Linked DNA regions of Caenorhabditis elegans. The protein of the gene in region 2 interacts with the protein of the main gene of each other region in a pairwise test. Each region holds a gene or a part of one and is shown on either strand. Other genes may lie near its edges. The genes, in order: dnc-2 and pph-4.1.

Region 1 (3,709 bases), 6.4 Mb from region 2:
GCCTTCAAGAGGATACGGTACTTTTTCCTGTAGTTTTCGAAATTTTCGTTTCTCCTTTTGTTGGATAAAATTTTTGGTTTTTCAAAAATATTATGAATCAAAATCAAACGAAAAACAAAAAAAAACAAAAAGCAAAGCAAAATCGCGACATAAAAAAATATACCGTATACCATCATAGACGCTGGCGCTCTAGGACACTTTTCGATAAAATGACTTTTTTTTTGCTCAAATTAGCGAATTCTTTATTTAGCAGATTGTGGAAATTTATCAAGACTTGAGTTTTCATGTCGGGACCAACCGAAATATTTCAGAACTTTATCAGTGACCCACGATCAATGTTCCCGAAGATGGTGAGAACTAAAAATGCTTTTCACTTCTTGCAATATTTCATGGGAACTTTTCGACGAATGTTCCGAAATAAAACAGAAATGATTGAGCATTTCAATTATTATGATGATCAAGTAAAAGGAACTGATTGTCATATTCAAGAGGAATTGGATTTTGCCAGATTTAAATCATATTTCGATAGATATACAAGAACTCATTACAATCCTGAAATTCGTATTATCTTTGCAATAATGACTAAAGATTCTTCTCATATGACGGTTGAATTCCATGTTACATCACAATCTTGGTTTGGATTCGAAGATCATTTTCATATGATTATCAGAGCGGTTAATGTGAGTTTTCGCGAAAAATCTGACTTAGAAATATGAAAATTTCAGGACGAGAATGTCGGATGGGGAGTTCGTTATCTGAGTATGGCCTTCAATTGCTGAATAGAGATTGGTTCATTCGGAAATATGGAAAGCAAAAATAAAGCACATAAATATATCGAACAGATTAGTTAATGTTGCATTGTCCGTACACAATAAATTATGAATTGTTTCTCTAGAAAGGTCGATAAAATCACTTCAAATCTGCCACTTTTGCCTCGAGAAGCTTCAGCTTTTCAACCACTGACCCGATTTCTTGCTTTCCTTGGGACTGTAATTTCAATAATTTAATTTGTTTATATTCCTCGAAACAATTAAAAAACACACCTCATACTCGATAATCGCTTCTCTTCCTTGCGCGACTTCCTTTTCGAGTTTTTCTCTGATAGTTTTCAAATGTGATAGTCCACCGGCAAAGTGTTGAACTTGTTCGTGAAGACGGTTCAATGCTTTAACCTTATTAACATTGCTTGGAAGAGATGAGCAAGCGACATCCCATTTTTGCATAAGCTCCAGAATTTCATCAACTTTCTTGTCAAGATTCTCGTCGATATCATTGTTGGCGCGTGTCTCGTCGATTTTTTCAAGTTTGGTAAGCATCATATTCAAACGTTGTTCAAGACCGGAGACATACGAATGATTAAGCGTTTCGCATCTCAAACATTTTTCATACGTTTTTATTTTTTTAAATTTAAGATATCTCACCTGAGTTTGAGATCTTCAATGGTGTCAAGTACGGGAGCTGATGGAATAACCGAACTTCCAATAACTTGTTCGATTCTTCTCAACCTATTTTCAAGAGTTGCCACTTTCGAGTCAGTGCGAACATTTGGTAACTCAACATCATGCTCAACTCGTGCAGTTTTTCCATTTGACTGAGCCACTTGCAACGTTTTCACTTCTTTCTCTAGATTCTCAAGAACCTCAGCGTTGAGCAAATCCGTTTTAAGATTTTCATCAGCACGAATTTGTTCATTCAGATCGGCGACTTCGTACAAAATGCGATTCAGTTTTTCGGCTGCAGTCTCGGTTCCCGAAAATCCTGCACCAGTAACTTCCAATACGTATTGATTGTTTCCAAATGCGTGTCGCCGCTTTTTAGCAATCGAGTCAGAAAAATCTAAATTTAAAAAAAAGATGATAAGTAATATTATTTTAAAATTACCGCTTGAAGTCAAGTTCAGTACCCGGTTTTTGTACTTTTTGAGAGCTTCGTCAACGTCAACCGAAATCTGTAAAAATCAGAATTCACTAAATATTTATATTATTTAAATTAATTAAATACAAACCAGTTCGATATCCGGATGAGTTGGATTGTCATTTTCAGGTTCACTTTTTTGAACTTGACTTGCAGCTCCGTCAGACTCGTAGATATCTTCTTTTCCAATAGATGACATTTTGACGCAAGATTTGAGAGTTTCTAGAAAACAGAATTTGATTTAAAATATTTAGGATCAAACGGCAAAAATTTAGAAAAATGAATAAACAAAATGTATGATAGGTTAAAGTAATAAATCGTGCTAGAAACATCAAAATGGCCGTGGAATTGATTGCGAAACAAGTAAATTAGATTGTCCGAGAGGACTACACACAACAATGAGTTACTGCGCTCTACCGGCACGTATTAGAGATTAGAGGCGACAGAGTTCAGTTTTGGCAAAAACGTTCGATTGTTCGAATTTAAACAGTTTTATTGTATTTCGTTCTTTTTATTTATTTTTCTGTAAATTTATTAAATTTTTAAGTTTCAGATGTACTCAGCAAATAGATCTCATCGCGCTGAAACAAGAAATCGCTCAAAAGATGAACTCCGAAAGGTAAACAATCAACTTTTCCAAAACTAAACTGATATTAAGATTTTCAGGTTATCAACTCATTGGAAAAAGTTCGTCGGTGGGAAAAGAAGTTAGTTCTTATCAAGGACACAAATATTCGGATCTACAAATGGGTTCCGGGTAATTTTTTATTTTAACACGTATTTCGGTATTTAGAAACTATTTATATATAAATTTATATGAAATACTTTTTTAAAATAGTAATTATTAAAAAAAAAACTTCACACTTATATTTTTGATACAATTCAATGACTCTGCATTATGAATTAATAACATATTCTGCTATATAAAAGTTTTGAATTTCTCAAAAAAAAAACCAAACTTTCAATACAACTTTTTCAGTGAGCGCTCAAAACATAATGGCTCCTCCAAAGATCAAGGAAGTCAAAGAAGTGGATGAGGAGAGCAATCAAGTCCCATCTGCTGAGAATTCCCAGGATTCCACCAGCGTTACCCAACCACCACCACAATTCGATATCAACGAAGATTCCAATTTTTCCACTGGCGATCACTTTGATAGTGACTCCAATCAAACTTTCGAGCCACAAAACTATCAAGGTGGAGCCACTGGTTCAACGGATTTCAGTTCGATGCGCGACGCTGAAATGACATCAAAACAACCATAAAATCTTTATCTAATGATCTCTAATCTGTACTCATTTTGATTTCATGTTGTATCATATAATCCTGATTCATTCCGAACTTTATCTCATTAATTCAAAAATTTTCATGTTTCATCACATTTATTTTTAATAATTTTTTGTATTCACCAGTTAAAATAACAAGTTAAAACTTTAAATAAAACCCATTTCAGTGCTGTTTTTACAAGTGAATCTGCCATTGAGAGATTTAAATCTTAAAAGATGAGTATCAAAATAGTAATTGTTGCATAGATCAAAGAAAAATGTGAAGAAGAAGAATTCAGAACAAGCTTCTCATTGCGAGGGCAGAATCCGAAAAAAGATTGTAAAGGTTGGGGATATCCATCAGCAATATCAAATACAGATCGGGATGAATTCATTCGAAAAACTTGATTTCCACGTAGAAGATGAATTTCTTTTTCATAAGTGAAGGCAGAATGTACTCCTTTTGGAACTCTCGCCCAATTCAGATCAGTATCTTTTGGATACCTTTCATCAACTCTTCGATGATACATTT
Region 2 (8,239 bases):
CGCCCACTCCACCTGATTGGTCGCAGCTTTCCCATTTTATCCAATCAATTGTATTTTACTTCGATTTTTTCTGTGAAAAATTCCATTTTCATGTTTTATTTTTTTCCCATTTCTCACTCCCCAAATACGGTTAATTGTTTTTTTTTGTTTCAAATCAAATCGGTTTTAAAAATGAATAGCATGAAATAAATTTTAATACTTTTTTTTGTCGAAAAAAAAATAAATCCGTAAAATTTGGAGGGGGGTGGACATTTACAGAAAAATGTGTGTGTGTGTGTGGAAAATAATAATTAAATATTGAAATATTTTTGTGGGAGCAAAAAAAAAAGGAAAAAAATGGTGTTTCGGCGATATAAAAGGGGGAGATTCTTCGGAATTTTTGGGCGAGAAAGAAATTTCGAGAAAATTTCGAGAAAAAATTAGAGGAAATAGTCGGCGTGCGGTTTTTTGGCCGGTGCTCCGCGATTTTCTTGTGGAGCAGCTTCGAAAATTGTGAATTCCTTGTTGAGATTCTCGTCGAGCTCGAGAATTGCCGCCACGTTGCCGCATCTGGAAAATTTTCATTAAGTTTTTTTTTACTGCAAAAAAAGCTCAAGTTTTCCGGGAAATTCAATTTTTCTTTTGAAACAAATTTTTGGGTTTGATCTACAAAAAATGCGGGATTTTTTTGTCCAAAAAATGTGACGTCAACACGTTCTTAATCATGCAAAATCAGTGCGTCACTTCTCCCGCATTTTTGTAGATCAAACCGAAATGGGACACTCTGGCACTACGTGATTTTGGCGGGAAAATTTTAAATTTTCTGGAAACAAATTTTGGCGGGAAAATTTAAATTTTTTGGAAACAAATTTTGGCGGGAAAATTCAAATTTTTTGGGAACAAAGTTTGGCGGGAAAATTCAAATTTTTTGGAAACAAATTTTGGCGGGAAAATTCAAATTTTCTGGAATCAAATTTTGGCGGGAAAATTCAAATTTTCTGGAAACAAATTTTGGCGGGAAAATTTAAATTTTCTTTTAAAAACATATTTTGACGGGAAAATTCAAATTTTTTGGAAACAAATTTTGGCGGGAAGTTTAAATTTTTTTGGAAACAAATTTTGGCGGGAAAATTCAAATTTTTTGGAAACAAATTTTGGCGGGAAAATTCAAATTTTTTGGAAACAAATTTTGGCGGGAAAATTCAAATTTTTTGGAAACAAATTTTGGCGGGAAAATTCAAATTTTCTGGAATCAAATTTTGGCGGGAAAATTCAAATTTTCTGGAAACAAATTTTGGCGGGAAAATTTAAATTTTCTTTTAAAAACATATTTTGACGGGAAAATTCAAATTTTTTGGAAACAAATTTTGGCCGGAAAATTCAAATTTTTTGGAAACAAATTTTGGCGGGAAAATTCAAATTTTTTGGAAACAAATTTTGGCCGGAAAATTTGAATTTTTTGGAAACAAATTTTGGCGGGAAAATTTAAATTTTCTTTTAAAAACATATTTTGACGGGAAAATTCAAATTTTTTGGAAACAAATTTTGGCGGGAAAATTCAAATTTTTTGGAAACAAATTTTGGCGGGAAAATTCAAATTTTCTGGAAACAAATTTTGGCGGGAAAATTCAAATTTTCTGGAATCAAATTTTGGCGGGAAAATTCAAATTTTCTGGAAACAAATTTTGGCGGGAAAATTTAAATTTTCTTTTAAAAACATATTTTGACGGGAAAATTCAAATTTTTTGGAAACAAATTTTGGCGGGAAAATTCAAATTTTTTGGAAACAAATTTTGGCGGGAAAATTCAAATTTTCTGGAAACAAATTTTGGCGGGAAAATTTAAATTTTTTGGAAACAAATTTTGGCGGGAAAATTTAAATTTTCTTTTAAAAACATATTTTGACGGGAAAATTCAAATTTTTTGGAAACAAATTTTGGCGGGAAAATTCAAATTTTCTGGAAACAAATTTTGGCGGGAAAATTTAAATTTTCTTTTAAAAACATATTTTGACGGGAAAATTCAAATTTTTTGGAAACAAATTTTGGCCGGAAAATTCAAATTTTTTGGAAACAAATTTTGGCGGGAAAATTTGAATTTTTTGGAAACAAATTTTGGCGGGAAAATTTAAATTTTCTTTTAAAAACATATTTTGACGGGAAAATTCAAATTTTTTGGAAACAAATTTTGGCGGGAAAATTCAAATTTTTTGGAAACAAATTTTGGCGGGAAAATTCAAATTTTCTGGAAACAAATTTTGGCGGGAAAATTTAAATTTTCTTTTAAAAACATATTTTGACGGGAAAATTCAAATTTTTTGGAAACAAATTTTGGCGGGAAGTGTAAATTTTTTTGGAAACAAATTTTGGCGGGAAAATTCAAATTTTTTGGAAACAAATTTTGGCGGGAAAATTCAAATTTTTTGGAAACAAATTTTGGCGGGAAAATTCAAATTTTTTGGAAACAAATTTTGGCGGGAAAATTCAAATTTTTTGGAAACAAATTTTGGCGGGAAAATTCAAATTTTCTGGAATCAAATTTTGGCGGGAAAATTCAAATTTTCTGGAAACAAATTTTGGCGGGAAAATTTAAATTTTCTGGAAACAAATTTTGGCGGGAAAATTCAAATTTTCTGGAAACAAATTTTGGCGGGAAAATTTAAATTTTCTTTTAAAAACATATTTTGACGGGAAAATTCAAATTTTTTGGAAACAAATTTTGGCCGGAAAATTCAAATTTTTTGGAAACAAATTTTGGCGGGAAAATTCAAATTTTTTGGAAACAAATTTTGGCGGGAAAATTTAAATTTTTTGGAAACAAATTTTGGCGGGAAAATTCAAATTTTCTGGAAACAAATTTTGGCGGGAAAATTTAAATTTTCTTTTAAAAACATATTTTGACGGGAAAATTCAAATTTTTTGGAAACAAATTTTGGCCGGAAAATTCAAATTTTTTGGAAACAAATTTTGGCGGGAAAATTCAAATTTTTTGGAAACAAATTTTGGCGGGAAAATTCAAATTTTTTGGAAACAAATTTTGGCCGGAAAATTTGAATTTTTTTGGAATCAAATTTTGGCGGGAAAATTTAAATTTTTTGGAAACAAATTTTAGCGGGAAAATTCAAATTTTCAGAAAAAAATTGTATTTTTTCCTAAAAATTATACTTTAAATGATAAAAAAGTGACCAAAAATTTTAATTTTTCGTCTTTTTCACGAAAAAAAAATTTCCGTTTTTTTTCCAAATCCATCCCGTACCGATAACAATAGTTGGGCGCCGACCAAACAGTGAGCACTTTCTCGTTGAAATGCCATTTATATCCTTCCATAACCAATTGATGAGCTCTACAGATCAAATCGACTCCGTTCGTTTCGCAAAACGTTTTCGACGCGTCCGCTCCGAATAGATAACCGGCTCCGCGTGGACTTAGGCCCCATCCAACATTTCCTTCTTCGGGGTCCGACCACAGTAGATCACACATTGGACCGTCGTGGGGAACCTGGAAATTTTCAGAATTTTTTTTCGCTTTTTTAGCACAAATTTATACGTTTTTCTATCAAAACGAACAAAATTTGATTAAAAAATTGATTTTTTTTTCAATTTTTGAGGCGGAACGGTGGTTTTGCAAACCTGCGGCGCGGTTTGATTTCTGTCGATTTACGGTGGAGTTTGTGCTACACGTGGATAAGCGTTTTTTTTTTTTTTTCGAATTGTTCTTCAGTTCTGTAATTTTTTTTGTAAACACTATTCAAAAAATATATATATATGGACCCAATTTTTAATGTTGAACACCAAAAAAAATTGGCAAAAATGGCCCAAAACTGTAAATTTACTATTAGAAAAAATTAAAAAATTAATCGACGCTTGTCCGTGTGTATTACAAAATTCTCCGTAAATCGAAATATAGCAAACCGCAGACTTGCAAAACCTTCGCCCCGCTGGAAAAAAGTGATTTCTCGAAAAATTTAACGTAAATTTTGAAATTTCGCTTCAAAATATCCGAAATAGTATCAAATTCAGAAAAATAAAAAGATTTTTCAATTTTGAATTCCCTCCAAAATGAGAACTCAAACTCCGCCCACTCCATCTGATTGGTTGAAAAGTGGGCGGAGCGAATCGCTGATTGGTTGAAGACAAAAATCGCGTTTTTGTGGTTTTTTTCTGATTTTGAGACTATTTTTTGAATTTTTTAGTATTTTTCGGGGAAAAAATCGAAATAAATGAAATAAAAATTAAATTGGTCGATTTTGATGAGAAAAAATTAGAAAAAAGTCTGAAAATTAAAAAAAAAAATTTTTAATGAAAAAAACGGAAATTTTTTTTTAAACGGAAATTTTCGGAAATTTGCCGATTTTCTGGTTATTTTCATTTTCGGCAATTTGCCGATTTGCCAGAAAATTTTAATTCCGGAAATTTGTCGATTTGACGGTTATTTTCATGATCGACAAATTGCCGATTTGCCAGAAAATCTTAATTCCGGAAATTTGCCGGAAATTATCAATTCCAGCAATTTGCCGATTTGCCAGAAATTTTCATTTTCGGCAGTTTGTCGATTTGCCGGAAATTTTTAATTCCGGCAATTTGCCGTTTTTCCGGCGAATTCGGCAAATTTCCGACTTGCCGGAAATTTTTAAATTCCGGCAATTTGCCGATTTGCCGGAAATTATCAATTCCAGCAATTTGCCGATTTGCCGGAAATTATCAATTCCAGCAATTTGCCGATTTGCCGGAAATTTTTAATTCCGGCAATTTGCCGTTTTTCCGGCGAATTCGGCAAATTTCCGACTTGCCGGAAATTTTTAAATTCCGGCAATTTGACGAATTGCCGGAAATTTTCAATTTCGGCAATTTTCCGATTTGCCGAAAATTTTTAAACATGGCAATTTTCCGATTTGCCAGAAATTTTTAATTACGGCAATTTGCCGATTTGCCGGAATTTTTTAATTCCGGCAATTTTTCGATTTGCCGGAAATTTTCAATTTCGCCAATTTGCCACAAATTTTTTAATTCGAACATTTGCCGATTTGCCAGAAAATTTTAATTCCGGCAATTTGTCGATTTGCCGGTTATTTTCATTTTCGGCAATTTGTCGATTTGCCAGAAAGTTTCATTACGGCAGTTTGTCGATTTGCCAGAAATTTTTAATTCCGGCAATTTGTCGATTTGCCGGTTATTTTCATTTTGGGCAAATTTGCCGGTTTGCTGATTTGCCGGAAATTTTTAAATTCCGGCAATTTGCAGATTTGTCGGTTATTTTCATTTTCGAAAATTTTAAAACTTTCCGGCAAATTCGGCAAAATGCCGGAAATTTAAAAAATTGTAATTCACCGAATTTTAACCGAAATTCAAAGCAAAATTCCATTAAAAACAGCATATTTTTTGCGTTTTACCTCCTGCTTCCGATCAATAACACGAATCTGATCCATAGTACTAATCGACGGGGATAATCCACCATGAACACAGAAAACCTTCCCATCAATTACAGCGGCAAGTGATAAGTAGTCGAAAACTTCGGTACAATGTTTCCAAACAGACGCATTTCCATATTTCCGAAGGCATTCATCATAGAACCCGTAGACTTGAGTAATCTGGCGACTTTCGTGATTTCCACGGATCAACATCATTCGATCCGGATAGCGAGCTTTCAGTGCGAGAAGTAGAAGGAATGTCTGGAAAAATATCGATTTTTTGGGAGTTTTTTTTGCAATTTTTTCGCCAGGAAAATTGCAAAAAAGCGGGGGCACCTCCACAGAATAGAAGCCTCGATCCACGAAATCTCCGAGGAACAAATAGTTGGTGTTCGGCACTGGTCCGCCGACTTTGAAGAGCTCCATTAAATCGTAGAACTGGCCGTGGATGTCTCCGCAGATCTGGAAATAGAATTTAAAATGGAAATTTTGATTTAAAAATCGATTTTATCCAACCAACCGTCACCGGAGAATCGATAACCTGGACGTTGCCCTCTTCCGCTAGGATTTCACGAGCTTTTGCGCAAAGTGTTTTGACATCTTGCTCCGCGATGAGCTCACATCTCATCAGCTTTTCTATGTGGCTGAAAATATTTTTTTTTTGTTGATATTTTATTGTTTTTATATCAAAACTGCTACCGATCCAAGTCATGAGTTGTTAGCTGGTCCGATGGGCCGGAAGTCGGTGAGTCGACACGTGAAAATGTGGAATTTGCAGAGTCGGTGCACGCCAGAGCCATTAAAAGCTGTAAAATACGTTGTAAATCGATTTTTTGAATTAATATTTAATTTAAAAACGAAAAAACGAAAAAAACCAATGAAAACAGGCGAAATCGACTTTAAATCCAGAGTTTTTCGTGCAAAAATATAAATTCAGTGTAATATTGGCATTGTGCCAGATTGCCAACAGAGCGCGATTGCGCCGTGTGGACGAGAGAAACCTCGGTCGCGGCCAGGAAATTTTTTTTTTTTTTTAATTTTAAAAATTGTTTTTTCGGAAATTTTCTCTGTTCTAACCAGTTTTTTTGCGAATAATTCAAATAAATTTCAGTGAACAATGTCAAGTTTGGCGAAACTCGGGTACTTTTTCGACGAAAAAGGCGTGCTGAAAACGGAGAAGGACAAAAAACCCTTCAAATTCACTACACAGGAGGATTATGAAGAACTGGGAGAAGCAGTTGATCTGGAAGTTTATGAGCTTCTGGAGACACGTTGTGGGCTGAAGAGAAAGGCGGTAAATTAAGAAATTTTTAAAAAATGGAAAAAAAAATTTAAAAATCAAAAAAAAAAATTTTTTTTCAGCTAAAACTTCCAGGAAAAACCGACGAGGATGAGGATCTAAGCTTCATTTTTGTGTCGAAAAATTTCAAAAAAGCTGCAAATCTTCTAGTATTGATCCACGGAAGCGGTGTCGTCAGAGCCGGACAATGGGCTCGTAGACTCATTATCAATGATAATTTGGAGTGTGGAACTCAGATTCCGTATATCGAAAGAGCTATTGAAAATGGATGGGGTGTTGTGGTGATGAACACTAATTTGAATGAAAGTAAAGATCAGGATTTGAAGGTGTGAAAAAACCCGGGAAATTTCGAAAAATTCGCTGAAAAATCGATTTTCAGTACTCCCGCACACCTGTCGAGCACGCTGAAACTGTCTGGATAGCGTGTATTGAGCCATCGAATGCTAAGAGCATCTACGTGGTGGCTCACAGTCGTGGTGGTTACGACACAGCCAGTGTGGTGGGATTTTCAGCACTTTTTTGGCAAAAAAAAGCGAAAAAATCGATGTTTTTCCGATTTTTCAAGGCGAAAATCCCTGTTTTTCTGAATTTTTTAAAGGAAAATGCAATTTTAATCTATTTTCAGCTTTTTTTTTGGCAAAAAAGAGCGAAAAAACGACATATTTCCGGATTTTTAAGGCGAAAATCCCTGTTTTTCTGAATTTTTGAATAAAAATGCGATTTTAAACTGTTTTCAGCTTTTTTTTGGCTAAAAATGAACGAAAAAATTGACTTTTTCCGAATTTTTAAGCCATAAAACCCTGTTTTTCTGAGTTTTTGGATAAAAATGCGATTTTAAACTGTTTTCAGCACTTTTTTTTTGGCAAAAAAGAGTGAAAAAATCGACTTTTTTTTTGATTTTTTAAGGCAAAAAAACCCTGTTTTTTTGAATTTTTGAATAAAAATGGGATTTAAACTGTTTTCAGCTTTTTTTTGGCTAAAAAAGAGCGAAAAAACGACTTTTCTCCGATTTTTTAAGGCAAAAATCCCTGTTTTTCTGATTTTTTTAAAGGAAAATGCAATTTTAATATATTTTCAGCTTTTTTTTTGGCAAAAAAAGCGAAAAAACGACATATTTCCGGATTTTTAAGGCGAAAATCCCTGTTTTTCTGAATTTTTTGAATAAAAATGGGATTTTAAACTATTTTCAGCTTTTTTTGGCGAAAAATCGACATTTTCGCGATTTTTTAAGGCAAAAACCCCTGTTTCAGGTCTCGCCACGACAAAATTGTGTTCAAGGAATAAGAAAAAAAGGTATGCGCCTTTAAAGATTACTGTAATTTCTAATTTTTGTTTCTGTGAAATTTATCGAGTTTTCGTAGTTTTTCTAAATAAAAATATTTTTTAATCTTTTGAAAAAAAATCGAAAAAAATTTTTTTAATTTAGTTTTCGCGATTTTTTTTAAATTTTTTCGATTAAAAAATATTTTTATTTAGAAAAACTACGAAAAATCGATAAATTTCACAGAAACTAAAATTTAAAACTACAGTACTCTTTAAAGGCGCACACTTTTT

Evidence for each region.
Region 1: the proteins of pph-4.1 (region 2) and dnc-2 interact in a two-hybrid assay, tested with the Caenorhabditis elegans proteins (2 studies listed by BioGRID).

Annotation. Positions count from the first base shown.
Region 1 is NC_003281.10:5,923,619-5,927,327, forward strand, and holds dnc-2 (putative dynactin subunit 2), read right to left. Parts: upstream 2,137-3,709; 5' UTR 2,114-2,136; coding exon 2,006-2,113; intron 1,949-2,005; coding exon 1,882-1,948; intron 1,837-1,881; coding exon 1,422-1,836; intron 1,372-1,421; coding exon 1,044-1,371; intron 988-1,043; coding exon 910-987; 3' UTR 780-909; downstream 1-779. Other genes in the region: C28H8.2 (uncharacterized protein), read left to right, coding at 312-680, 726-779; bcl-7 (BCL7-like protein), read left to right, coding at 2,468-2,533, 2,581-2,671, 2,894-3,177; zmp-1 (Matrix metalloproteinase-A), read right to left, coding at 3,408-3,709.
Region 2 is NC_003281.10:12,345,146-12,353,384, forward strand, and holds pph-4.1 (Serine/threonine-protein phosphatase 4 catalytic subunit 1), read right to left. Parts: upstream 6,192-8,239; 5' UTR 6,186-6,191; coding exon 6,085-6,185; intron 6,030-6,084; coding exon 5,906-6,029; intron 5,848-5,905; coding exon 5,722-5,847; intron 5,647-5,721; coding exon 5,368-5,646; intron 3,477-5,367; coding exon 3,235-3,476; intron 550-3,234; coding exon 420-549; 3' UTR 178-419; downstream 1-177. Other genes in the region: FAM172 family protein homolog Y75B8A.31, read left to right, coding at 6,503-6,679, 6,748-7,011, 7,065-7,184. UniProt on the Caenorhabditis elegans protein: Protein phosphatase which plays an essential role in meiosis and in early embryonic mitosis.